Linked DNA regions of Cricetulus griseus. The protein of the gene in region 1 interacts with the protein of each later gene in a biochemical or structural test. Links are inferred from orthologs where the notes say so. Each region holds a gene or a part of one and is shown in the gene's direction. Other genes may lie near its edges.

Region 1 (3,500 bases):
TTGTGTTAGCTGTAGTGCAAGATGACCCTGCTTGGGACACACATTAATAATGGAAATCTGTTCATACAGTACCTAGAGACCACGAACCCCAAGCTTCCATCTGGTTCTTAGTGATTTGATATTTTTCTTCAATATTGTACAGTAAAACTAAAATGCAGACATTACTTAGACTAAAATTTACCTGTGAGAAATGTTACATTCTGTTGTTGATCCTAGGGGCAACTGCACCAGTTGCCATGGTGTGTACATCACTGCTTGAACTCATACAAATCTTTTGATAAATGTATTTCTATTTGTGCTTCAGACTTTGACTTGACAAGTAATTTTGCTTCTTAAATCGCCATTCTGATCAGTGTTATATCAGCAAAAACAACTGATTTGTTTTATAAAAATTTGGTGTTTTTTAAAAACTCCACTGTCTCCATGGCCAGCCCAGTCTGAGTGTCTTTAGCCTTCAGGAATTCACAGAGCAGTTGAAATTTGAATATTGTTCCTTTTGCTGGCTTTCATGGGAGAGCAAAGGAGTTGTTCTCTCTCAGCACCTGTGTGTCTGCTGAGACATGGCCTTCACTCAGAAGGTCAGTGATGGTGGAGCTGTGTTTCAGGGTCTGTGTTTTCAGTGTATCTCATGCTTTTGGTTTGTGTTGGTGGGACATATAACACATGTGGCAGGCATCTGCTTAAATTTTAATGAATTGATTTTTCTTTTCAGGATTATCTGAAGCTTAGTGTACAGCAGCTGTGACACCACACTCGTGCGTGGACGATGGCTACTCAAGGTCTGTGCCCCGGGGAGCTGCTTGTGGCTTCTGTATGCTGCCTTAGAGTCCCTGCTGCTCTCTTGCCCCTGCCGGCTTTGGTTTGCCAGCCTACCTGTTGCTGTTCTGCTTACTACTACCAGCTTGGTGAAATAATCAGCAAGCTACCCGTGGGAGTCTAGCTTGAGTGATTCTGGAACTTGAATGCCACTGGGTTGCCCCTGTTCTACCATGGAGCACACACTGGCTATCATTCTGATCTCCTTGGTTGCTGAAATACGTTTCTAAATGTATTTCAATGGGTCATTGTCATGGATATTTTATTCAGGTATCATTTTCAGTGCACTAAATTGTTTTGTTTTTACAGCTGATCTAATGGAGTTGGACATGGCCATGGAGCCGGACAGAAAAGCTGCTGTTAGTCACTGGCAGCAGCAGTCATACTTGGATTCTGGAATCCATTCTGGTGCCACCACCACAGCTCCTTCTCTGAGTGGCAAGGGCAACCCTGAGGAAGAAGATGTGGACACCTCCCAAGTCCTGTATGAGTGGGAGCAAGGTTTTTCCCAGTCCTTCACTCAAGAGCAAGTGGCGGGTAAAAAGCATTTGTGTGTTTAAAAGCTAGAGTTGGGTTTCTTAGCAAGGGTGTGTGGTGGCAGAGACACACAGGCACAAGTGAAAAGCAGAGGAAAGTCGGGTGCATTGTTACTTAGCACTTAGGACAGTGAAGTCTCACATGGATTTTCCTTTCCCAGATATTGACGGACAGTACGCCATGACTCGGGCTCAGAGGGTGCGAGCTGCCATGTTCCCTGAGACCCTAGATGAGGGTATGCAGATCCCGTCCACACAGTTTGACGCGGCTCATCCCACCAACGTCCAGCGCCTGGCTGAGCCATCCCAGATGCTGAAGCATGCCGTTGTTAATTTGATTAACTATCAGGATGACGCGGAACTTGCCACACGTGCAATTCCCGAGCTGACAAAACTGCTAAATGATGAGGACCAGGTAAGCAGTTACACAGCTTGCTTCCCGTTTACTTTGAGGGAAACTGAGAGGGTGACGATGGCTGTTCGATGTCAGTATTTGGAAACTAATGGTGCTTCTTCACCCCCTGTACTCTAGGTGGTAGTTAATAAAGCTGCTGTTATGGTTCATCAGCTTTCCAAAAAGGAAGCTTCCAGACATGCCATCATGCGCTCTCCTCAGATGGTGTCTGCTATTGTACGCACCATGCAGAACACAAATGATGTAGAAACAGCTCGTTGTACTGCTGGGACCTTACACAACCTTTCTCACCACCGTGAGGGCTTGCTGGCCATCTTTAAATCTGGAGGCATTCCTGCTCTGGTGAAAATGCTTGGGTAAGAAAGTGGTCGGTCACATAACCAGAAAGGTGGGAAGAAGAAGGGTGCCAGTATTGGCTTGACAAAGGTTCTTTTCTTTCTTCTCAGGTCACCAGTGGATTCTGTTCTGTTCTATGCCATCACGACGCTGCACAACCTCCTGCTACATCAGGAAGGAGCTAAAATGGCGGTGCGCCTAGCCGGTGGACTGCAAAAAATGGTTGCTTTGCTCAACAAAACAAACGTGAAATTCTTGGCTATTACAACAGACTGCCTGCAGATCTTAGCTTATGGCAATCAAGAGAGCAAGGTAAAGTCATGAAAGCTGTTAGCATGGGGCACAGAGGCTCCACAGGCTCCAGACTCACTGACCTGCCCTTTGTGTGCACCCTAGAGGAGCTGCACTCTGTCCTCTCAACATTGAGTGTCTGTGTGCACCGTGCTGTGCATCGCACTGAGTGGACACGAAAAGGCCTCCAGAGTCTTTACCCTTGAGATAATTGCCAATCTGACTAGAAGGAAGGGGTTCAGTACACAGAAGAAACATTGTTCTGAGGGCCTTGTGGAGATGCTTGAGAGGCAGTGAGGTGTTTATAGTAGGTGGAGGCAGGTGAGAGAGAGGAAGGCATGTAGGGAAGCCCTGAAGGGGAAGGAGGGTGGTGTGGGTGGGGCTTTCAGAGTATAGTGCTTGAGAAAGTTTTGGGGTAAGGCTGTAAACACATAGTCTGGGTAGACCTTGTGAGGCTTGTAGGGCATACCAAAGACCAGGTGATGTAACTTTGAGCATAGGTATGAAATAGATCTGCTTGTGGAAATGTTTTCTGCAGTGTTTTCAGAAGGTCAAGGGCAGAGGCTATGGGCTCTTAGTGCCCATTTTCAACTGGCAGTTCTGACAACTTTCACTACTACAGGCAAACATGGTTGCTTTTCATATTCTTTTTCTTTATGTTCCATTTGGGGAGATGGCCAGAGTTGGTGTTTTTTTTTTTTTTTTTTTTTTCCTCTAATGGTTTATTTCTTATTAGTTTACGTGCATTGATGTTTTGCCTGCATGTGTGTCTTGGTCGGGGGTGGTATGTCCGATACACTGGAACTGGACTTAAGAGACAGTTGGGGATGCTGGGAATTGATTGAGTCCGGGTTAGTAAGTAGTGCACAAGTAGTGCTCTTAACTACTGAGCCATCTCTCCAGCCCAAGTTGATGTATTCTTGAAAGTGTTGGCATGCCTGGACTTGAGCAGAATACTGTAGTATAGAAGTCACATACCTAGGACCCCCCAGTTTGAGACCTTGCGTCAGAGAGGTCCAGAGATACACTTTGATGTGACACAGTAACTTGCTGATGGGTTCCTCTCCAGCATTTCTGGAGTTGTATGACACTAGTTGTACGTCTTC
Region 2 (4,116 bases), on another chromosome or scaffold:
AGGGCATTGACTCTTCCAACCGGAGGCTGCATCTTCATGAGTGACCCATGACATTCTAGAGTTGGAGTAGCTGTCTCCAAATAAAGCCGAGGGCTCTGTTACATCACCTGCAGCTGAGTGAGCCCCCCACCCCCACCCCAGCATCCCTGGGATTTATTTTTATCATATGGAGAGGATTTTTTTTTCCTTCCCCATGGGGTTCATGCTGTGATTCAAAGACATTCAGGTAATTGTGTTTTGTTTCTCTGTTTTAAGACAAAACATGTAGCCCATGCCAGCCTCTCTCTCCAGCTCAGGCTGGCTTTGAACTCCTGATTCTCTTGCCTCAGCTGCACTGGTGCTGGAATCATAGGTGTGTGTCACTGTGGCCAGATGGGGTTTGGATCTTTATACTGTCTGTGTTTTGCAGCCAACATCTTTGCAGCACTCACGGTGTGCCAGACAAAGTTCTAGCCCTTCATCTACACGAATGCCAATAGTCTCCACGATAGCCCAGAAGACTACACATTATCAACAACATTTGCAAGTAAGAACACCACAGACACAGGCCCAGTGCAGTGGTAGTGTATGCATTCAAGGCCAGGAAGTCTAGGCCCAGACTTTGTTTCTTGAGCCTTGGCATGCTGCTACACTTTCTAGGCATCTCCACTTTATCTTGCAGAGTTTTTATTTTGCAGACCAAGGACACAGAAGCATTTAAAGGCAAATAATTTTAAGTTAGGATATAGCAAAATGGTTTGTTTCATTCTGACTATTTTCTATTGCCCTCTACTTAGGGAATGATATTTCACTTGAGGGGAATAACATTTCCTTTGAAAATAAATCCAGCAGCTGGAGATGTAAGCCCGATTGATGGGGTGGGGGTCTAGCGTGTTTGAGCCTCCCGTCTTTATAACTGCATAAAAACTGGCCTGGTGTCGCATTCCTTCAGTTCCAGCACTAGAGAGGTGGACCAGGAGGACCAGAAGTTCATGATCATTCTCAGCTATATAGCAAGTTTAAGGCCAGCTTGGGCTACGTGAGACCCTACCTCAAAAAGGAAAAAAAAAAAATAGGGGGGTTTATAAAATAAATCTAAGTAAAAAGAAGTGACTTGGTGCAAGAAAATTTGTATGTAGGTGACATTAGGGACGGTTACCAATACTGGTCTCGGGGGAAACACGTGATGCTTTTAGGAAGTCTGTCCCAACTGATTTGTTAGGGCTAGTCTGTGGCAAAACGCCTGGCTCCCCTTAGCCGGTCTCTAGCTCTCTTAAAGTGCATGTCCCTCCTTGGTTAGCAGGGGGCGCTAGTACACACCCTTGTTTCCGTAAGGAAGCACCTAGTCTCAAAGCTTCGGACTGGGGCAGGCACAGCTTGCTTTTCCTGACATCTCGCTGGCCCAGACAAGTGTCACAGTCAATCTACCACCTGCCTGTAAAGAGAAAGAGTAGACCAATGTGAGCAGTCCCGGGTACACTCGGAGCAGACTTCGATTTGCAGGTCCTTACCCACCAATGTCCTGCACGTGACCTTCGAGTCCCTGTTCCTAGGGACCCGAGAGGGTGAGCCTGGCAGCCCCTCTAAAAACAGATCCTCCACGCCTGTTGGTGCCGACTCTTCATAACTGGTCAGGCTTTATCTAGGTTCTGAAGGGAGTTGGGCTGGGGCTAGGCGTTGGCTGTGTTTTGTTTTGAACGCACAGAAGAGCAGCTGAGTAGCTGGAAAGCAGAGGAAGGGAAGGGGAGAGCAGCAGCTGACAGCCTCGTGGAGCACGAGGTTTCAGTCCTCAGGAGACCGCTGGAGGAGCGCTCCTCCCCTCTGAAACTTTTAAAAACTATTTTTATGTGTCCATTAAGAAAATGGCTTATTAATTCACTTGCATGCACACACGAGTGCTCGTGTGTTTGTGAAGGTCAGGGAACAGTTCAGGAGACTGTTTCTCTCCTACTGTGTGGGTACCAGGGATGGAGCTGAGGTCATTTCACGTGTTTATTGTGTGTGAGTGTAAGTGTGGCAGTGAAGTTATCTCAGAGATAACCAGTGAGAGAGGGTTCTGTCTTCCTGCCACGTGCATCCTGGTAGCCATCTTTATCCACGGAGTTACCTCACTGGTCCATTGAAGAACTTCTTTCCTTCTTCTTTTTCGTTTCTCTCTCTCTCTCTCTCTCTCTCTCTCTCTCTCTCTCTCTCTCTGTCTGTCTGTCTCTCTCTCTTTCTTTTAAATACGTGGTCTCATATAGTGCAAGACTATCTATCCTTAAACTCACTATATAGCCAAGGATTGCCTTGAACTCTGCCCCCAATTTCCAAGTGCTGGAATTTTAAAGCGTTTGCCACCATGCCCAACTTATGATTCTCAGACTGTTTATTTCACTTTGCAAAAATTTTACTGTAGGCATGGAATTCTTTTCATTGATTGTCTACTATGTACCAGGCACCGAATGGCATTCTCTTCCTTAAGCACGAATGTAGTATGTATGTATGCATGTATTATGTATTGGGGAAGGGTGTTCTACAGTGATCACAGGGAGATCCAAGGGGAGGAGTTGCTTCTCTCCTTCCACCAGGTGGGTCCTGGGGATTGAACTCAGGTCACCAGGCTGAGAGGCAAGCAGCTTTATCTGATGAGCTCACTGTGGGCATTCTCATCAATTCCTCCTCAAGGGCCTCTTTGGAGAACTCTGTCACACTCCATTAGCTGGCCTTTTCTTTGTCTCATTTGAGCCTGCCCAAGGTTTGGGGTGTACGATGAGGAACGCAGTCAGTGGGCGTCTCCACATCGGGAGCTGGAGAAATGTAAAAAGATCGTCAACAAGTAACTGAACACACCGGCCATTTCAAGTCGGCGAGCAAGGAAGACACAACAGAGACAGAGAATAAAGGTTGAGGGAGGCACAGAACTCACACAAAGTGTGGGAAAGTGACGAGTCTGGGGCTGAAGATCCGCCCTTACTCCAGGGATGACAACAGTCAACAGATGTGCAAAGGCCCAGAGACAGGAAGGAAAACATGGAGAAATAAGATGAGGTTGGAGACGTGGGGACACAGTAGTGAAACCCTCGTGACAGGAGTCTTATGAGCTTTATAAATGCCCAGGACACTGTAAAAGTTTAAAGAGGGGAGAGGTCTGAGGCAAGGTATGTTTGTGCATGATTACCCTCGGGTTTTGAGTGAAGAGGAGCTGGCACAGGAACCAGAGTGGGCAAGGAAGAGTTTGTATAAAGACTTATGCTGGCTTCCAGAAAGCATGGTGATTGTGCCAAAGTTGACTGCAGTGGAGCAGAAAAAAAAAAAAAAATAAGGAAAATTCTAGCTACTGTGGAGGTGGCATGGACTGGGTTGTTTGTTTTTTGTTTTGTTTTTTGATGATCTAGAAGGACAGGAGGACACAAAGCACAAAGATAGGAACTGATTCGGGGGTGGGGGTACGTATGACATGTTGTGATGACGGTGTCGATGATGATGTTAAGAACCTCGGAATGGAGGAAGCCATCCCACAAAGCTTCCAGTGTGTTTAATATGATCCTCGATAACAATTAGGTGTGATTTTTCACTCATATCCTCGTGTTAACTTTTATTTATCTTCATTTTATTATTAGCATACACATGTGTGGTGTATGTGTATGTTTGTGTGAGTTTATGTGTACCGTGTGTGCAGGAGCCATGGAAGCCAGAAGGGTATTGGATCCCATGGAAATGAAGGTATAGTGTTAGACCCCCGGAAAACTCAGGCCTCCAGGATCTCAGCCCCGGACCTCGGTCACCCCAATCAGCAGGCAGATTCGAAAGCTTGATGCAAAAAGCATGAGGCTTTATTGTTGTTTAACGAGCTAACCCCATGTTAGCTCGGGTCTTTCACGTACCTGCCATGGCGGATGGCTAGCAAAGACAGCTCGAAGGGGCTGCACAGAGATCTTGTTGGGCAGTGTAAGGGGAGTGTCTAGGGGTACGCACAGGCTCAGGATTGGTGTGCCTCCAGGCTTGGAGGGCTTGCCCTGTGTTGATTGGCCAATTGGTTGTTATGGCCCATAGGCCCTCCCAGGGTGGTTTCTATGCTCTGCACATCATTGCTGTGCACTTGTCTGTAAAGCACACCCAGAGCCGTAAAGCATAGCACCACCAGCTAACTTCTGA
Region 3 (4,117 bases), on another chromosome or scaffold:
CAGACATCTAACCTCTCTGGGCATCAGCAGAAGTTTAACAGTAATGTCTCCATAGAGTTATTGCTAGAATTCAAACATACCCGATGCAAAAAGTACACAGCACGATACCTGCACATAGAGAATGCTTAGTAACACGAACTGTCATCAGTCCTTAAGATGTTAACGTTCTCTCACGTAAGCTCTAGAGGTACCTTTGGATCTACTAGGTGTAAATCCAAGAAAATTACAGGCTATATGGCCTAGGGCCTGCTCTACAGGGAGCAAATCTTGGCGACTTCAAAGCATGGCTAAGCATCAAGGTAGAAAAGAACTCGATAAGGTGTCACACTTCATTTAATCTGAAGAATATTACAGGCTCACTATCTTCAGATATAAATTACAACAGTGCAGAACAAGCAGCGAATTCAAACAATTTAAAAACTAAGTAAGTCTACACGGTGTTAATTGCTGGCAAGAGTCCTGCCAATCTTTTTTTTCTTTTAAGTCACCCCTGCCCTCATTTCAGTAGACGTGCACCATGCCATAGAGGAACGTCCAGAAGAGGACGTAGGTGAAGAGGCCCCCGATGAGGCCTCCTGTAAAAAGAGGTCTTCGTGACTTAAAATATTTGTTCCACCTCCTTCCCGCTTTGAGAATTAGGAGCAGGGAGAGCAGGACGGAGGCAAGCAGGTAGAAGATGAAGCCGTAGAGGCCGGTGAGGCCGAGGATGCCGGCTGTGGCCCCCGACAGCGCTGACACTGAGGTCCGGCAGTAATCAAGGACCGCGGCGTTGCCTCGTACGGCTGCTTCGCTGATGAACGGCGGCCCTTCCCGTTTGGCCACCACCGCGGCCATCGCACCCGCCGGGGCTCCGCTTCTGCCTTCTCGAGGCCTCAACGCGGAACTGCGGAGAAAACCAAGTTACAAGTGGCGCCCGAAGCCCGGCGAGTTGGGCGCACGGCGCCTTCTTCCCCTGGGACCTCCGACACCGCGCCTGGGCCTCTGACCTCCACGGGACGCCCAGGCTGAGGCTCGAGCCGGCCTGGGACAGCGGCACATCGGCACACGCCCGACAGGCTCGCCGAGTTACCTGGAACACCGCGGCACACAGTCCCTCGTGCTCCCTCAGACAGCAGAAAGCGGAACGTTCCGCGCCGCCATCTTGTGCTGGAGGCTGCTGGGAGGGCTCAGGTTGCGCAGGCGCACAAACTCCGCCCCGCCCTCCCACGCTTGCGCCTCGGGCACGCTCCCCTCCCGCCCCACTTGGGCACACAAGTCCTGGGACTCCCGAAAGCCGACCAGCGCTGCAGCTGATGATTGGCTGGGGGCTTGTTAAATATTCATGAGGGGGCGGGCCGAGCAGGGCTGCCCTTTGTTAACCAGGGAGGGCGCGGCCGCGGGCATTCTCGCTGCGGGTCTCGCTGGGCGCTGTCGGCTTGTCAGATTTGAGTCGAAATGTCCTACATCCCGGGCCAGCCTGTCACCGCCGTAGTGGTGAGTGCGCTCATGCGAGCTCCTTCTCCTCTTGGCTCACCCCATTTCGCAGAGCGGCAAACTGACATCTAGACGGGCGGAGAAAGCAAAGTGCCCGGGGCTCTCGTGTGCATTCCGGTGGCCAGAGCTCCAGTGGCCGTTTCGGTTTAGCAGCGCTGCAGCCTTCCCTGGCCGGGAGAGGTGGCTGGGACCTAAGAGCCTCCCGAGACCCAGAGCAGAGGTCAGATCCAGTGCACTGCCGCCGCCGGCTGGATAACGTTTAGCAGGCGCGGACTGGGAGGATGGTCCGTGGGAGTGTTAGAAAACTTCCCCTGCCCTGGGCCTCCGTGTCCCCAGCTGGGCGGCCGCGGGGGGCGGGCGCCGACGTCCGAGAGTGAGTCGCAGCCTTTGGAATGAGGAAGCGTTTCCTCTGCTCCAGCCGGCACACTGCTGCCTCCGCCTAGCCGTAGATTTAGGGGGTGGGACTGGCTAGAGTTTGTCTTAGCAGCCCCTTCCCCCTTCTCATCCGGCCTCGTTCTGGGGACGGACCCCTCGAGAGCTAAACTTGATTTTCTGAACTTTTCAGGATACTCAGCCCCTTGGTTCAAAGTTCGTGTTCCTGTGCGTGACACTTGATGTTCTAGATCTTTCCAGGGTCGCCTTCTGGGTTTGTCTTGTCTTATCAGTTGTATTTGAATAGGCAAAGGGAAAGGCAGGTAGAGGTGTAGCTCTAAACAACAAGGTCAGGGTCTCATGGACCCTGCAGCCCAACCCTGAGGCAGTGGTGGGTATACTAAAACCTACCTTTGAGAAGCCTTTATGCCCTGCCAAAAAGGAAGGACCTGGATCTCTCTCCAGTCAGGGCCTCTCTTAAGCCCTCGCTGGCCTTGAATTTCTGGCAGTACTCTGATTTAGCCTTCCAGGTGTTGGAGTTACAGGTGTTAATCAATAAGCACTCTTGGCCCTGGAGTCCTAACTCAGGAGCTATAGGGACCGGCCATGTTTAGACAGTGTATTGGAGAACTCCCAAAGTTAAGAGAGTGGGGGGAACAAAGCCGCGGGGGGGGGGGGAAGCCACTGATGAAGGTGCTATAGGAGGATGAGATTAGAGCCCCAGCTCAGGCCTGGGCTAGAAGGAAATATTGCTGGGCCAGTGGACAACTTCCTGGTTTTCACTCCACTTGTACCGGCCTGGTTTTTCTCGGATCTCTTCCTAACTGCTCCAGAAAGGAGTTCAGGCTTGACCCTATCTGGAAAAGAGAGGGTGCGAGGAGAGCCACTTTGCTGCCTGACTTCTCCCTTATGTCGGTCACAGGGCTTTGTCTCTTTTTGGACCTTGCTGGTGGGCGTGAAGGGAGGTGTGTGGGGATAGGCACTTACACTTTGGGGCAGGAAGCTCCAGGTGAATGGGCCTTAGGCATCATGTTTCTTGTTCCTCTTCCGTCTTGTCAGGCCAGTCAGAGTCCTTCTCAAAGCTTTAAGTCTGCAGTCCTCCAATCCTGATATGAGGTGCATGCCTGAGCATAAGCCGGCAGATCTGGCCTCTTTCCCGAGTTCTGGATTGCTCATGGGGTGGAGATGCTTCCCTCCCAGTCTTACCCTCTTCAAGTATAGTTAACATCCTGATTCTGTTATAGCCATTTTGTCTCCTCCCCTGAACTCTGGCCCCAGAGGTCTGTCTTCTGGAAGCCTGTGTGGATGGCTCCTGACACTCCCAACTACTGACACTGCACTCTACCTGGGTCCCCAATGGAGTGATGGTTGTGTTCATCTGGACTGGGTCTCAACCTTCCTAATGCGCAGCCCTTGAATACAGTTCCTTATGATGTGGTGACCCCCCACCCCCCGCCCATAAAATTCTTTTCCTTGCTACTTCACAACTCTAATTTTGCTGCTGTTATGAATTGTAATGTGAACATCTATGTTTTCTGATGGTCTTGGGTGACCTCGAAAGACTTGGTTGTCCCCACGGGATGGAGATCCACAGGTTGAGAAGGCTACTGATTTGGACAGATGACAGGGTGCACTTCCCCACTTGCTCATCTCAGTCCTTGTCTGTGGATCAGCACTTATAAGTGTCTTTAGACCTCCATATCCCACCGTGAGAAATCCGTTCCCCCACCTACCACTCCAGTGATCATCCTAGCATCAATGCCTTGCCCTACTCCTACCTCCTTTTTGAGACCCAGTAGGTTCAAGATCAAGGTCAGATGGTGCACTGTCATTTCTCAAGGCTGGGTGCAAATAATCCTCTCTTTGTTGAAGCCTTCCCAAGTCCAGAAAACCACTCCTACTTCTTTGTGTTAAAATTCTCAACTTTGGGGGTAACCTCTGGTAGGTACCTGGAGGATGCTTTCTGAGGGCTCTCCAAGGAGCCTGCCCAGTTGGAGACCCTGACCACAGAGCATGCTGAGAAAGCCCAAGAATAGTGTCTCTTACACCGCATGAGAACAGGACCTAAGGACTGGGGAGATTATATGACTAGGCCTACACGCCAGTCTCATCCTTTATCCCATCTCACCTCCTGGAGACACCAGTCTCCTTGACCAGGAAGCCCTTCTCTTCTTGGCAAGTTTCTTCCCTGCTTCTCCCATGCCCCTCCAGGCTTTCATAATCTCTGTAGGGCTTGCTCAGCAGTCCACAATCTGAGCGGCCTCAGCAGGCA
Region 4 (4,131 bases), on another chromosome or scaffold:
TTGTGCTCAGCATGTCATACCCGGCTCAATAAATATTTAAAGGGCCGTGTAAGGCCCTGGGGTTCTATCGCACACCTCAAAAAGGAGAAAAGAACACTTAACCTTTAACTTAGTCGCATTGTGAGTGCACAGCAGCGGCTAGGGGGAGTTAGACCTACCTAACAATCCTCAAGGTTACTTTCTTTACGGTGGTGGGGGCGGGGAAGATGAGACGTCCTCAGGCTGCCCAGGGTGGCCACCATTCCACTGTCACTGAGGCTACCTTTAAACTCCTGATCCTTTCCACTACCTGAACGGTGGGATTAGCAGAATGCACCAAGTCATCGGGTTCTCAAGGTTACTTTAAATGAAGAGAAAATTCAGAGTTTGAAGACAGTGGCAAACGTAAACCGTTCCTGGTTTCATGGAAATATAGGCAGGAGTGAAGCGGTGGATTCTCATTCCTTTCCTCCTTCTACAGCTAAGAATTCCGCGTCTACTAAAATGTTCGGTACCGTAGAGTAGCAAACTGGAACTAGAAACGGAGGGTGGGTATTCTGTGACTCGGAAAAGGAGAAGCCTGCAGGGTCAAGGCTTTTGAACTGCTGCACGACCGGGTTCTTCCTGTCCTTTTGCACTCTCCTTGCAATTATTTCAAAACCCATAATGAGTTATCTTAAGACTCAAGAAATACCTCCCACTCATGTCTGCTCGATCTCTCCCCGATCTGAATCATTTTTGAAGGTTTCTTTGACGACCAGCAGCCCATTGATATGCTCTAAAGTCACACCTCCACATTGTGCCTCAAACGCAGGCAGATTCAGATCCCAACTAAGGAAAGTTCTGTGCAGTCTTTAAGGGCTATTCCAGTCTCATCTCCGTATCCCACTAGCACCAACAGGCTACTGGTCCCAGTGACCGAGAGCCCATCTCATCTGCGCCGACCTTAGCATTCAAAGCTGTTTATTGTAAGTCTACGCGACCCTTTCAGTACCTGCTCCACGTACCAGAGTTGCTAAGTCACTTGAAACAGAATTAAATCCAGATTTTTTTTTGTTCCGTTTTAAAGACTTAGAACGCAAGCGGCTCCTTCCACAACGTCTCCTTAGGCAAAGTCCTTATACTTGGGGCCAAAAGAACAAGGTATAACTAGAGGTGTCAAGCCCAGAAACTCAACGACCTGCCTCCTTAGACCCCAAACCAAGAGCGAGTCGACGCTGTCACGTGACCTGTTCTAATGGCGTCACAGGAACACGTGGTTCTAGATACTTCGCTCCCTCCCCCTCAGGGGTGGATTGTTGACAACGCCGCCAGTGGTCACGTGACCTGACGTCATCCCACCTCCTCTCCCTGAAATCTCAGGCTCCGGATGCGTCCGTCTCTCCCCGTCCGGCCGAACCTGAAACTAGCAACGGGGGGAGAGAGTCGAGGTAGCATGTGGCCTCCAGCGGCCTTGACCCTGCGGTGTCCAGCGTGAGCAGGGAGCGGAGTCTGCCCAGCTCCCCACAGGAAGACGGCCCGGAAGACGGCCCCTTGCGCCGGCCGGTGCCGCGCGCGCGCCCGCTCGCCCCGCCCCTTCCCCCCTCCTCCCGCGGTGGTACTGGCGGAGGGCGGAGGGATCTGGAGGCGGCGGAGGGAGACGTCATTGCAGGGTTGTTTGTGCAGTCTCGGCGGCGGCGGCGACCCACAGTGATTCGGCCGCTGCGCCGGGGGGTGGGGGGGCCGAACGGGACTCTTTTCTTTCAGACTGACCGCGGGGCAGCTGCGGAGCATGTCGACCCCGGCCCGTAGGAGGCTCATGCGGGATTTCAAGCGGTAAGGGCCCTCGCCTTAGTCCAATATGACGGCTCCTTCCCGAATCCGTAGGACTGCAGGGCGGGGATCCGGGACCTATTCCCCTGTTGACCCTGAGGGGGTGGACTGTGGGCCTCCGGCATCCGCGGCAGTCCCGGTTTACCGGCGGCTCCCACTCCTCCCTCGCCTGGTACCTCCTTTTGAGTAAAGATGGTTGGTACTACTGCCCCCTGCCCTTCCCCCAAAGAAGTAAGAAGGCCATCGCTGGGCCTAGGTGTCCCCAAGGCCCACCTAGGCCAGCTGTCGCCGCCTCATCTCCTGCCTCTGTGCCCTGCGGCGTCCCCTCCCCAGCCGGTGCGAGTGAGCTCCGCTTGAGGCTGGGGCTTCGCTTGGCAGACCAGTCCAGCTTTGTTAGAGCGCCCCGCGGCCTCCCGTTTGGATTGGGGTTAGGGTGAATATTGCCCCATGTCCCTTCCCTTTCTGCAGTGATGAGGGTGGGGTCTGCTGCGCGAGGGCCGGAGGTGGTTAGCCCATCCCCCGAAACCCGATTCTGCCCCCGCCCACCTGGAAGGACCTTGAGAACTGGCTCGGGAAACCTGGGCCAGGAGATGGTCACTCGTGCTGCCAATGCCTTCTGGAACTGAGATCTGGCTGCCGAATAAAAGCCTATCTATAGCCTCCCTAGCCTGGAAAAATGCCTTCCGTCAGCCTGATGCTAATCTGATACTCCACCTGGGCGTTCTTTTGGAAAATAGTGGTTTGTTGGGAAATACGGGGCTTGGAGGAAGAAAATGACCTTTTCCCTCTTCCAATTGTTTGTCTTTCTTTGGAAACGTACAAGTGCAGAAACTACCTGAAGTCCAGCGTCCAGATAGTCTTGTTTTCTTTTGGGGGCAGACTTGCCGTGATTGAGACAAATCTGTAATATAGAAACTTAGATTTGCCGCTCAGGAAGTAACCTCTTAACTTCGCCATTATAGAGCCCTGTGTGAAGCATTTAGAAGCCATTGTCTTGGACCCTAGACATTATTTAATTCATTTGTTGATGCTTTTGGCCACTTAAAAGTGGGGAGTCAAGCAGTAAGTAGTACTTCCTGTAAACCCTATCAGCGGCCTAATCTGCTTGAGAGTGACCAAACAGTACACTTTTTATGTGGACTTGATTGCCAAGTGTCCTACCATCTGAAAATAACATATTTCATTTGTGTGTGTGTGTGTGTGTGTGTGTGTGTGTGTGTGTGTGTGTGTGTGTGTGTGTGAGAGGGAGAGGTAGAGGTTTTGTTTTTGTTTTTTAATCTGACAGGAAAGGATGCCCTTTTTTGGTGCAAAAGTCACCCAGGGCTTGAAGTCACCTTATTTGATTAGCTCCATGACTGAAACGCAAATAAAACTTCCCAGTTATATCCATTGTTATCTCTTGCTCGTTTTTTTGCAATTCTTTTATTTGATTTTAAGTTGGTAGTTTTCCAAGGATCTTCAGGTTACAAGAATTTGATGATGACGTCTGTTGGAAGCTCTGTGAAGTCCTGGTCTGAGGTAGATTTGGCCTTTGAACAGCTTTTAAAATTGGCTGCTTGGAAAACTAGCAGGAGCTTCCGGCTACTTTAGAAAGCCACTGTCTGAAGCACAGGGCACGAAATAAAACTTGCTTTCTAGTTAAATTGAATGTGGTTTTTAGTCATTTAGAGTATACAGAGATTGACTACAATTCTGTGTTGTGCAGTGTCTGTGGTTAGGACTGGTGATCCTTGCATGGTTGAGGTAGGAAATTTGCAGGTTCTCCCTTTTTCTTTGTTTTTTTGTTTGTTTGTTTTTGTTTTTCAAGACAGGGTTTCTCTATGTAGCTCTGACTGTCCTAGAACCCACTATGTAGGCCAGGCTGGCCTCCAACTCACAAGATATCCACCTGCCTCTGCCTCCTGAGTGATAGTTTTCTAAGGCATATGCCATCACCACCCAGCACAAGTTGCTGGTTGTCTAGCCATATTTTTTACTGCTAAGATTATAACTCTTCAGTGGGTTAAGAGTGCAGTCTGGAAACATGGGTCTTCAAGAGACCACATCTTAAATCTTGTGGTTTGAAGAGGGATGATCTCTTAGCCCTTTGGACTTAGAGATCACTTGTACTATTAATAAGTTTATTAACCTGGTTGATTCATTTAAGTTGTGGTTCATTCTGGCTCCATCGATAACAAGAAAGTCAATCTAGCCAGTCTTTCAGAATAGGTTCAGTAGAATTTGACCTTGGTGACCTTTATGTTAACTCTGAAAATGACCACTCTGGATTTCTAGATTGCAAGAGGACCCACCCGTGGGGGTCAGTGGTGCACCATCTGAAAACAACATCATGCAATGGAA
Region 5 (3,500 bases), on another chromosome or scaffold:
CCTTGCCCAAACTCAAAAGACCTCTCTTTAGGAAGCAGTATTCTTGGAGGCAGAAAAGGCCTTCTCTGACCCTTTTATTTTGGCTTTGAATCACTTGCCTGGACATTCTGGCTTATTGGAATTCCCAAGTGGGTAATAGTCTCCATGAGGGCTTAGGATCTGTTTCTTACCCAGTCCCTGGAACCATGGTCACACAAAGGCCATTATTGCCCTTTGAAACTATCACCTCCTTTATTCAGCTTGGGTTGTGTACATTCTGGGGTCTGACCTCACTTCTAAGAGTCCTCTTTCCCTGGGATGCTACAACTCTTGACTGGCAGACTCTGCACTTATGGTCTCTAATAGAGTCAGGCTGTAATTGCCCCAGGAGCTTAGACATCTTCCTGGTCACTTAAAGTCTCCTGGACCCACACCAGGCTCTGAGCTCCAAAAGAAGTCACAGCTGCCTTAAATACAAGGGACCACTTTGCCACCTGTTGTAAGCTATGGTATACACTTGTGCTACCTGTTCTGTGCAGGAAGTGTTCCTTCTGGTGCTGACACATTGCATGTATCTGGCAAGGGTCTGAGTCAGTGGAGTAGGGTGTCATGTGGGATCTTCTAGGAATGATGCCCTCAGAGGCCTGGGCAGGGTGTGCTCAGAAGCCAGTGTTCCTAGGATGCAGGATTATTTTGTGGAGTAGGGTATTTTGGGAGTTAGGATTCTCTTGTGATGCAGAGGTTGCATCTGTTCATCCTACCATTACCTGGCAAACCCCATATGGCAACAGCTGTGGTTTTCTCCTGGCCTGTAGCATCAGCTAAACCCTTCTTGTTTGTGTTTTGGGGTATGAGAATACCATCACCACACACATACACCCCATACCATCAACACACACACACACACACACACCACGTCTTAGCTGGTGCCCCCACACACACACACACACACACCACGTCTTAGCTGGTGCCTCCAAAATCTTCATGTGTGAAGAAATTGAATGTATTGAGTCTATTTGTCTGGAACTTTATAAGCAAGTCTAGATGTATGCAGTGAAAGGCCCAGGCCTTGGCAGGCCCTGTTAAACTATATCAGATAAAGTCACTATTAGGGACAATAGTGGCATACCCAGGTAGAGGGTTCTCTTGGAAAGGCTCTGTCATGCTGGCAGCAGCTCCCCAAGAAACAGTGTCACTGCTTCTGTCCATGTCTAGTATCCACATCATCTTCAGGAGGTCATGATGAATCTGTGTAGAAAGAGCCACATTCCTGGGAGGTGTCTTGGAAGGCCTTCTCCAAGAACCTCTAGCTGGAGAAGTCATCTGAGCAGGAGGTGAAGAGAGCCTGTAGCACCAAGACCAGCCGTTCTCCAGGGTGTATTCCAAAGAGCAGACTGGCATTGACCCTGTGTCTAGACACTTAGGGCAGGGCCTCTGATGATATGTGAGTGGGAGTTGTTGGCAGCTAGTTCCTGCTGCTCACCCTATCTGGGCACACTGTCCACAACACTGGCTGAGCCCCATCTTCTTTGATGCGGGTTGTTCCCTAGGTATGTGCAGGCAGTCATGCAGCGGGGACGCACCTGTGTCAGGCCAGCATGTGCACCGGTGCTGAGTGTGGTACCAGCCGTGTCGGACTTGGAACTCTCCGAGACAGAGTACGTGCGCCCTGTGGGTCCTCCTGGTTCTGCCCAGCCCAGGCCAAATCCCAAAGTGGAGCACCTATTTGATAGGCTTTGTCACTGAGCTAGGAAGCATCAGGGCTGGAGAAAGGCCTGCTGTGGCTTCTCTCTCATGTCTCCCAATAGAGGAGATCATGCCTGTTCAGTGTAGACATGATCAGTAGGCCTATAAGTGGTTCATGCAGGCATCACAGCTTGCCTTTCATCTCATCTTTATTCTCCTGAGCTTCTGAGCTAGCTCTGGGGACTGGTGGGTCCACTACCATTCTACACAGGATCAGGTCCACATTTCTAGTCCCCTTGAAATAGCACTAGGAACTTGCGGCAACTTTATAGTAGCATCTGGATGGTGTGACTACAGCCAGGACTTAGGCTCTGCACCTCCGCCTGCCATAGCCACATTTAGGTCAGGGGCATTTCTGACTATGCCCTTCCTGCTCTTACTCAAGACAGGAAGATGAGGATCCCCCTTGGGCCTTGGGGCCTCTGCAGATGGCCCTCCAGTTGTTCTGGAGAAGTAGGTCTCCCCAGGTTTAACCGCCAGAAAGCTTCAAAAGCCCATTGCTGGAAGAAGGTCTGAAAACCTGGAAAATTACACATCCAGAATGCCCCGTGTATTTTACTTGGCCAAGAAAAAGCAGCCATGTGGCCATGGTTGAGGCCAGCTATGGAAGCTTCTGGAGTGATTAAAAAGTACAGGAATACAGGAGCAGACTCAGAGCAGCTACACAGCCCTTTGAGGACCTGAGTAAGAAACAGCTCAGGCCTCCAATCTGCTTTGGAAATCCTGGTCCTAGGGACACTTCCTTTCCAGATCTGTGCAGCTCTGATTGGTCCCTCCTCAAGACTTATGGAAGTTTGGAGAGGTTGGGACTTGTCAGTGTTTTGAGACCAGCCCCCTTACAACTTTGGAGATAGGACTTTGTGAGCCGAAGGCCTGGTCTGGTTATTGTGGGTATCTGTGTCCACTTTACGTGGTCTGGATGGTGAAGTGCTTCTTTTAGAGCTAGACCTCTAGCTTATTTTCTAGTGAGTGGTTTACACAGGACTGGCACCCAGATTTTGGGTAGGTGGGTGGCTGGGCCTGTGAACACCACATTGCTGAGTGAGATGCTGACCCTGGGATGTCTTGTCCTCTATTGGTAGATGGTACCTTTGAGGTACTCTGTGTGACCTTGGCCTGAGCCCACTACTTACCACTCTGTTTCTGTCCCAGGACAAAATCACAGAGAAAGGCAGGTGGCGGGAGTGCACCCCCATGTGACAGCATTGTTGTGGCCTACTATTTCTGTGGGGAACCCATCCCCTACCGGACCCTGGTGAGGGGCCGTGCTGTCACGCTGGGCCAGTTCAAGGAGCTGCTAACCAAGAAGGGGAGCTACAGGTGAGAGGAGAAGCTGCAGCCATAGGGCATACTTGCCCAGCATGCAATTTGGTTTTCTGTTCCACTGCTCTTTTCTCTTCCCCTTCACCCTACTTCCCTCAGCCATGGCTGCTGCTTTCTGCTCTTATTTGGGGCACATCAGGGTTGGATAGCATCAGGACTGGCCCTCTTTTCTAGCCGCAGACCTCTCTCTCACTCCTTGTCAGCCAGCTCAAAAACTCCAGTAGTAAGGTTACTGATACCTGAGTGACATGGGAGCCTGTCAGCCCTCCTGGTGTCAGCCCATGTGGATGGCAGAGCTGGGGACCCAAGACCTCTGCTCTTCCTGATTCAGAAGGCTATCAGCAACCTCCATACCCACCAGAAGCCAGGATTGGGATTCCCAGGGGTTTTATAGCAATTTTCAACATACTGTTAACTCAGCCCTTTCAGTGGTCCCAGTTCTACCCCAAGTG
Region 6 (3,500 bases), on another chromosome or scaffold:
TATTGAAAACGGTTTCCCTTGATCCTGAGTCATGCTCTCAATTTGTAGTTTGGCCTTAAATAATTTATTTTTTGTGATTGCTCATTAAAGGGTATATTTGTAACAAGGGTACAGCCTGAAGGACCAGCATCAAAATTACTACAGCCAGGTGATAAAATTATTCAGGTAATTAAATCAACCTTTTTATTATTTTCTTTCATTTTATAATAATTTTATTTTATAGTACTTTCTAATGTTTTAGAATTTTAAATATTTCTGCTTTATACTTGGAAAATCATGCTTATATGTTTGATAGGTCATTTTGTTTTAAATTTTGAAATGTTAATTTTTAATAATTTAGAGGTGAGTTGTCATATCAAATAGTAAAATTTCAAAATCTGAGAAACTACTTTAGTATTTCCACTCCCTAAGTTACATCAGTAACTTACTTTATTTATCTAAGTACATGCAGTGTGGCATTGCCTTAGTACACAAGGATAGTTTACTTCCTCCCTCCTACTTTATTGTTAGTTCCGATAATAGGAAGTAACCTTCAAACCAAAAATGATAGAGCTGTTGAGTAGCTGAAAGTGCAGACCACCTCAGATGGTATCCTTGCTCAGCCCTTCTTAATGTTAACTCAGTGCCTGTTTTCAGCAGTACATACACTTAAGATTGGAGTGATTCAAAGGATGGCATGTGAATTCATGGTGATTTTAAATGTTTTGATTTTTAAATAATTTCAAACTCAGAAAACTATATGACAAAGGTGATCACACTTTGCCACTTTATCTTTAGTATTCACTTTATTGTATAACAGGCTTTCTTTTGGGCCGCCAGCCAGCTTCCAAATCATGACATGAAAACACATGTGCTATATTTCATGAGTGTAGAGGTCCAAGAACACCTTGAAGCTACCAGTTTTCTCCTTCTGGGTTGTTGGTCCCCAGACTCAAATTCAGGGCTTCCAACATGGAGTCAAATGGCCTTATTCTCTGAACCATCTCATCAGCCAGTGGTGTTCTTTTTTCTGACAGGTTGTGAACTGTTTGTCAAAAATTTACAACTAGAAATGCAAATGTATTTCTAAGATTTTTTTTCCCCCTTTCTTCTAGGCTAATGGCTACAGTTTTATCAACATTGAACATGGACAAGCAGTGTCCTTGTTAAAAACTTTCCAGAACACAGTAGAACTCATCATTGTACGAGAAGTTTCTTCATAAGCACTATAGACAAAAAAAAAAAAAAAAAACAAGGAAGATTTATTGAAAGACACTTGCAGGGGAAATGACTATTTTGCTTATTTTTATATATAAAGAAGAACTCAGACAGTTGGCTTGGAACTTGTACATTACTGAAATAATGGAGCTTGTGGTTAGAGGGGAAGAACCACTGTACAGAAGATAAAAGAGACTGTTGAATTCATATATGAAATTTGTTGTTAGGTTTTTAAACTTAGCAAATCAAGGCTACAAAAACAAAATTATGTTGTTTTTGTATAGATTGTAGGTTTATTTTTGGATTTCATACACATGACTGACTGTACGCAAGGCAATAGTTAGCCTTGATTGTAGCCCAGAGACAGATGGCAGAGCTATCTATCTCACAGCTTTTGTGCCCTTATTTTTCTCCAACTGGTATTAATGTTTTTTCTGCCGAACTACTTTTTTCCATGTGGGTAAGAGATTTGAAATGTTGGCTTTTGCTATGTGCATACTGAAGAGTGGCTAGATGAAGTTGGTGCTGGTGGGTTCACTTTCCGAGGCCAGATTAAAACATTATTTCCTATAAAATCTGAGGCTAACAGTGAAAAAAAAAGTTATCTGATAATGTATTTTTATTAATAGAATAATGCAATAAAATACATGACGTCTTTTTAAAAGACAATAATTGCATTTTATGAGCTCTGCAAGATCAATTATTGTCATAGCTGTTGACTATACATTTGCTACTGGTGATTCAATTTTTAATTTTTTTAGTTACTGAAGTTTTTAACTCTAATGTAGATGCATGTCCACACATTTCCCTTACTACAAAGTTCCCTGATATTTTTTCTTTAGCAAATGGTGGTACTTGCAATCTAATTTTTATAATTAGTTTCCATCATAATCTAATTTATAATTTTTTTAAGAAGCAAATGAAACTAAAAGGCCAGTTTTAAGATTGTATATGTTGCCTGTAATACAAAGTTTCAGAAGGTTTAGGAAAGCCTCTTGATTTTGTTCGGCCTGGCATTGCCTTTGTAAAGTGAAAGGAAACGTGGAGTGCGCATGGAGCTAGGAAACCAAAGCAAGTCTGTGAGACTGGCACAGTGATAGAGAATTGCTGTGGAGTTATAGAGCAAAGGGATGGTCCTCGAGGCCTACCAGTGTGTTAAGTGTGCAGATAAAGGGCTGTTCCTACAGATACATTCAATGTGAACTCCACACTTCAGAGTCGTTAAAGGGTTTCTAAATGTGTCGGTGTAATAGTGTTTTACCACCAATTGCCTTTGTTCCCAGTTACTGTAACAAATATTTGATGATGGAAGTTATTAATTTTGTTTATATCCAGATCATTAATTTTATTTGCTTTTGATGTATGTAATCAAATAAAATTTGAATGACATGCAGGGGTAAGAAGTAATGCATGGTTATTTGGACCAGAGGAAAGTGCCATAGAAGACCAGCAACTGTTTTTAGTTGAAGCTAGTCTGGAAACTTTTGTTAGAACAATATTCTGTTCCTGAATTCATTTTTTAATTTCTGAGATGCATAATTTGGGTATTTCTAATGTATTATGCTTTTTTCTTAAACCTTGACTTAGTTGAGATCTTTAGAGGACTAGCTCAAACACCACCTGCATTATTTTTACAAAATGAGTTGGAAACATTTCCATTCCTAGTCAGAATAGTCAGCACTTTTAAAAATATCTGAGCTCAAATATTGCACTCCTTTCAAGTTGTTATAAATTGGGTATTGTACTGTATAGTTTTAATAATCTTGATTGAAACCCTTTAACAACTCTTTGTAAATTTTAACTCATTTTAGTTGGTTTTTCAGTACTATTTACATAGGAATTGATTTTTATGAATATAGTAGAAGAAATGTGCTGTATTTTGATAAAATTCACTTGTATGTGTTGTAATCTCTAAAACAAAGAATGACAGCTTCTTTAATATGTCTCAGTGTTCCCTTTATTGACTTCACATTTTCACAGTCACTTTTAATTAAGCATAATTAAAGTAAATATAATTACATATTTCTCAATGATCTTACCTTAAACCAGAATTGTTGATTATAATTTTGCAAAAGGAATTAAGGGTACAGATGTTATATGCACTATTATTTTAGTCCACTGTGGTTCCTTTTAATTTTGGTATATTCTTGAAAGCTAGATAAGAAAGTTTTTTGCCAAAGTTTGAAATAACATACAATGTAGAGTAAAAGTAAAAAAAAAAAAATTTAAATCGTAAAATTTTGTACTTAAACTAATACCCAAAGTTTTCTTACAGAATATAGGGGGTGGATCGAGACTTAGAA
Region 7 (3,500 bases), on another chromosome or scaffold:
CTTTTGCCTTACTAGAAATCAGTCTCAGGGCCTCACACATGTGGGAAAATCAGAATTTGATTCTTGATTAAGGCTCAGATACTGACTGGTAGCCACATAAAACTTTCCCACGTAGAATTTTTATAAAGTAAATAAAATCATGCATTGTCTCTCCTTATTGCTGTCATCTGTCCACCTATTAGCTATCTGTCCAGGTTAAAGATTTTACAAGTAAGAGTGAGTTAGCAGAATTGAAGGGCTCTGTTGACAATGTAGAAATGAAAAATCCTGCTGTTTCATACAGTTGTAAATGTTTCTTGTCCAGGTTGGTGACCAGATTGTGGAAATCAATGGGGAACCTACACAAGGCATCACACATACTCGAGCAATTGAGCTCATTCAGGCTGGTGGAAATAAAGTCCTACTCCTGTTGAGGCCAGGAACTGGCTTGATACCTGACCATGGTAAGTAAAGTAGCTAAGCATTCTTGCTGGGGAGGGGATGGCAGAAGGAAAGGGAATACCCCTTTGGAAGAGATGGACATTTTATTGGCTAATTTAGAAATGAACACCAGAAACACCTAAGAAAGTTACTATAATGCAAATGATGTTTCCAAATAGTATAATTGTTGCAGTAGAGCATTTGTTACCTTTATTTCATCTGAAATAGTGCTTTTTGGAGAGAAATGTGCCTATAAAATATGAGAACATTAGAGACAAACAAATGTCTTTAGAATAACCCAGCTTTTTTCTCCTTTGCTAATTACACTTTGCCAATAAATATTATTTTCTTAAAGTAAGCTTATCTCAATGAGTGAATGCCAGAACTTTAGGATTTTCTAGTCACTTATCAAAATAAGTTGCTGTAGCCCTACTACCTGGAGATAGGGAGTTAAATCTAAGATCATGTTTGTACTCCTGTATTGATGGTAAATGCCCTTGGCTTTATTATATATTTTGAACTGTCAGTGTTTTAAAAATCACTTTGGGAATGCATGATCCGAACTAAAGGCAGTACCACACCTGTTTTATATGTGTCTCCCTGCATAGCTCCCCATCAGAGCTGTTGTAGAGTAAATGTAGACATAACCTCCTATGGTCCCTTCCAGCTATGATTCTCTGGCTGTGTTACCTTTCACCATCTGCTCATACAGCACACATTCCCATGACATCTGTGCTAACTGTGCTGGTTTGTTTTCACATAGTCCTAGGCTTTTTCTCTTCCTTCTTCAGGTTTGGCTCCTTCCGGTCTGTGCTCCTACGTGAAGCCTGAGCAACATTAAGGCTTTCAGGGCTTTTCTTGGTCTTTCCTTAAAAAGACTTGGTAAATTTGCATGTCTTTTAAATCACTTCTTTCATTTTCTTTTTAATTAAAATGATGCTATTAAATACATCTACTTCTGTCTTCTGCACTTTTTCAGTCTTCTTTTGACATTAAATTTGACAGCCTAACAAGAAAATTATTTACAGTGCCCATAAACCTCATTTGGGTTACCACAGTCTGGTCTTTTTTCACTAGTGATTTTGGCATATCCTTAAGTTAAACAGTAATAATAGATTAATTAGTAAGTTTCTTGGACCAGGTACTTTGGTCCAATTTTATTATTTCTATCTTATTTGGCTTTATGAATAATTTACAGCTCATATATCACCTCTAACAGTACATAAGTGAAACAATTATTATAACAATCTACCCTTCATACATAAGCAGATATCTATAAGCATCTGCCTTTACAGAAAGTGACTTAAATATATACAAGTTATGTAACATATTCCTCCTTGGGCTATGCAACCTGTAACATATTCAAATGGCTGTCAAAGTTCAAAACTCACTGTTCCTATTCATAATTCTTGAGTGTAACTGTGTTCTACTCAATCACTTTTTAGGTGATTGGGATATTAATAGTCCTTCATCTTCCAATGTCATTTATGATGAACAGCCACCACTTCTCCCATCTTCACATTCTGCTTCCGTATTTGAAGAGTCTCACATGCCAGTAACTGAAGACTCTCTGATTAGAGTTCAGATATGTGAAAAGGCAGAAGAACTAAAGGACACTGTACCAGAAAAGAAAAGCACTTTCAGTGGAAGCCAGCCTGAAATGAAGCATCAGACCGTTCTCCAGAAAAATGTGAGTAAGAAGGATCCACCCAGTAGTCAAAGGCATGGTGAGAAGAATCTACTAAAAGGAGAAAATGGTGTCACACGAAGAGAGAGATCTGCTAGTCCCAAAAAGTCAGCTAATCAACATTCAGAGGAACATTTGGAAAAGATTCCCAGGCCCCTAAAAAGTGACCCCAAAGGAAAATCTAGAGATCGGTCACTCAGCCCTAGGAAAGGAGAGACTAAAGGTCAGATCACCACTAAGGCGGGTTCTGGACAAGATCCCTGCAGAAAAGGCAGAGGACGATCTTCTAGTCCCAAGAATCAGCAAAAGATTGTAGGCACTGGCCCGTCAAACACTGAAAGCCAAAGGGCAGCAGGCCATACTAGTGACAGTACTGAACAGCTCCCAGATGGGAAAGAAAAATCGGGTGTTGTCAGGAAAGATCTGAAGCAGAGTCAACTTGGAAAAACCAGAACAAGGTCTCCAGAGAAAAAGAGCAATAAAGTTGATGAAACATCTCTTCCATCCAAAAAGATCAGCAACACTGCTAGTAGGGCGGTGTCTGAGAAGGAAAAAGGAAAGAAGCCAACCACAGGAGAAAATGTCCAGATCTCAGCAAAGAAGCTCAAGCAGGAACCTGAAGAGAAGATGACGTTAGGTAAAGCAGAAGATCACAAAGGGAAAGAGCCAGAGGCCACTGACAGATGCAAGGAGCGTGCAGGGGGCATACCTGAAAACAGCTCTCCAGTCAAAAAAGCTCCCATCACTCCAGGGCCCTGGAGAGTGCCACGTGCAAATAAAATCATAGGCCCTGCTGGCATGGCTGACAAACAGCTATGACCTTTTGTATAATACAAAGAAAATTAAGTTGTAATTTTTTACTCAAACACAGCATTCTTTTAAGGGGAAAGGTGTCCAGATAGTCTTCAATACCTAATTGAAGCATCAAGTTAGACAGACTGCATGAAAGTCTTCTGGGATTCCTAAGACCCACCTGGCCCTGGCTGGCTGCCCTTCTTCACATTCAGGAAGGAGCTGCAGCCATGGGCTCATCTGCCATGCCCTGCTCAGGCTGCCCGCTCAGCAATGACATGATCTTAGCAGTATGGTTACAACTCACTTTGTATTCGTGCCAAGTTACCTATTGTATCATGTCTGTTTTATCATTCCCATTCTGATATTTCCAGTCATGAAACAGTTCGGTTTAGCTTGAAGATGTTTCCAATAGCATGTTGCATGCTTACAGAGAGAAATATTTGAGTCCTTGCAGAGGAAGAAATTGTTAGCTCATCATTAAAGTTGGCACTTGCCGATTTTCATAGCTTCTGACCATCCTAGTTTAAAAATGCAACTCAGAAAGATCACTACATTACAGGAAAAATCAAATATTAAAGATGCTTTTTTTATGGCTAAG

The links.
Region 2: the proteins of Ctnnb1 (region 1) and Hnf4a form a complex in vitro, tested with the Homo sapiens proteins (2 studies listed by BioGRID). The link is inferred for Cricetulus griseus from reciprocal best matches to the Homo sapiens genes CTNNB1 and HNF4A.
Region 3: the proteins of Ctnnb1 (region 1) and Tax1bp3 are reported together in a solved structure, tested with the Homo sapiens proteins (2 studies listed by BioGRID and IntAct, with this or other methods). The link is inferred for Cricetulus griseus from reciprocal best matches to the Homo sapiens genes CTNNB1 and TAX1BP3.
Region 4: of the proteins of Ctnnb1 (region 1) and Ube2b, one has a biochemical effect on the other in vitro, tested with the Homo sapiens proteins (2 studies listed by BioGRID, with this or other methods). The link is inferred for Cricetulus griseus from reciprocal best matches to the Homo sapiens genes CTNNB1 and UBE2B.
Region 5: the proteins of Ctnnb1 (region 1) and Axin1 form a complex in vitro, tested with the Homo sapiens proteins (2 studies listed by BioGRID). The link is inferred for Cricetulus griseus from reciprocal best matches to the Homo sapiens genes CTNNB1 and AXIN1.
Region 6: the proteins of Ctnnb1 (region 1) and Erbin interact in a test that uses a peptide from one of them, tested with the Homo sapiens proteins (2 studies listed by BioGRID and IntAct). The link is inferred for Cricetulus griseus from reciprocal best matches to the Homo sapiens genes CTNNB1 and ERBIN.
Region 7: the proteins of Ctnnb1 (region 1) and Magi3 form a complex in vitro, tested with the Homo sapiens proteins (2 studies listed by BioGRID and IntAct, with this or other methods). The link is inferred for Cricetulus griseus from reciprocal best matches to the Homo sapiens genes CTNNB1 and MAGI3.

The regions. Positions count from the first base shown.
Region 1 is NC_048597.1:228,008,207-228,011,706, forward strand, and holds part of Ctnnb1 (catenin beta-1), read left to right. Parts: intron 1-712; 5' UTR 713-766; coding exon 767-779; intron 780-1,125; coding exon 1,126-1,353; intron 1,354-1,513; coding exon 1,514-1,767; intron 1,768-1,884; coding exon 1,885-2,123; intron 2,124-2,213; coding exon 2,214-2,415; intron 2,416-3,500. UniProt on the Homo sapiens protein: Key downstream component of the canonical Wnt signaling pathway.
Region 2 is NC_048599.1:15,981,617-15,985,732, reverse strand, and holds the start of Hnf4a (hepatocyte nuclear factor 4-alpha), read left to right. Parts: upstream 1-1,316; 5' UTR 1,317-1,482; exon of another isoform or gene 1,483-1,544; intron 1,545-4,116. UniProt on the Homo sapiens protein: Transcriptional regulator which controls the expression of hepatic genes during the transition of endodermal cells to hepatic progenitor cells, facilitating the recruitment of RNA pol II to the promoters of target genes. Activates the transcription of CYP2C38.
Region 3 is NC_048600.1:86,945,780-86,949,896, forward strand, and holds the start of Tax1bp3 (tax1-binding protein 3), read left to right. Parts: upstream 1-1,317; 5' UTR 1,318-1,434; coding exon 1,435-1,473; intron 1,474-4,117. Other genes in the region: Emc6 (ER membrane protein complex subunit 6), read right to left, coding at 502-834. UniProt on the Homo sapiens protein: May regulate a number of protein-protein interactions by competing for PDZ domain binding sites. Binds CTNNB1 and may thereby act as an inhibitor of the Wnt signaling pathway. Competes with LIN7A for KCNJ4 binding, and thereby promotes KCNJ4 internalization.
Region 4 is NC_048600.1:66,264,708-66,268,838, reverse strand, and holds the start of Ube2b (ubiquitin-conjugating enzyme E2 B), read left to right. Parts: upstream 1-1,331; 5' UTR 1,332-1,409; intron 1,410-1,725; 5' UTR 1,726-1,750; coding exon 1,751-1,794; intron 1,795-4,065; coding exon 4,066-4,131. UniProt on the Homo sapiens protein: E2 ubiquitin-conjugating enzyme that accepts ubiquitin from the ubiquitin-activating enzyme E1 and transfers it to a E3 ubiquitin-protein ligase. In vitro catalyzes 'Lys-11'-, as well as 'Lys-48'- and 'Lys-63'-linked polyubiquitination.
Region 5 is NC_048600.1:45,818,566-45,822,065, forward strand, and holds part of Axin1 (axin-1), read left to right. Parts: intron 1-1,529; coding exon 1,530-1,637; intron 1,638-2,877; coding exon 2,878-3,045; intron 3,046-3,500. UniProt on the Homo sapiens protein: Component of the beta-catenin destruction complex required for regulating CTNNB1 levels through phosphorylation and ubiquitination, and modulating Wnt-signaling.
Region 6 is NC_048595.1:322,068,691-322,072,190, reverse strand, and holds the end of Erbin (erbin), read left to right. Parts: intron 1-90; coding exon 91-165; intron 166-1,094; coding exon 1,095-1,202; 3' UTR 1,203-3,136; downstream 3,137-3,500. UniProt on the Homo sapiens protein: Acts as an adapter for the receptor ERBB2, in epithelia. By binding the unphosphorylated 'Tyr-1248' of receptor ERBB2, it may contribute to stabilize this unphosphorylated state.
Region 7 is NW_023276806.1:52,925,966-52,929,465, forward strand, and holds part of Magi3 (membrane-associated guanylate kinase, WW and PDZ domain-containing protein 3), read left to right. Parts: intron 1-304; coding exon 305-443; intron 444-1,211; coding exon of another isoform or gene 1,212-1,261; exon of another isoform or gene 1,262-1,302; intron 1,303-1,865; coding exon 1,866-2,926; 3' UTR 2,927-3,500.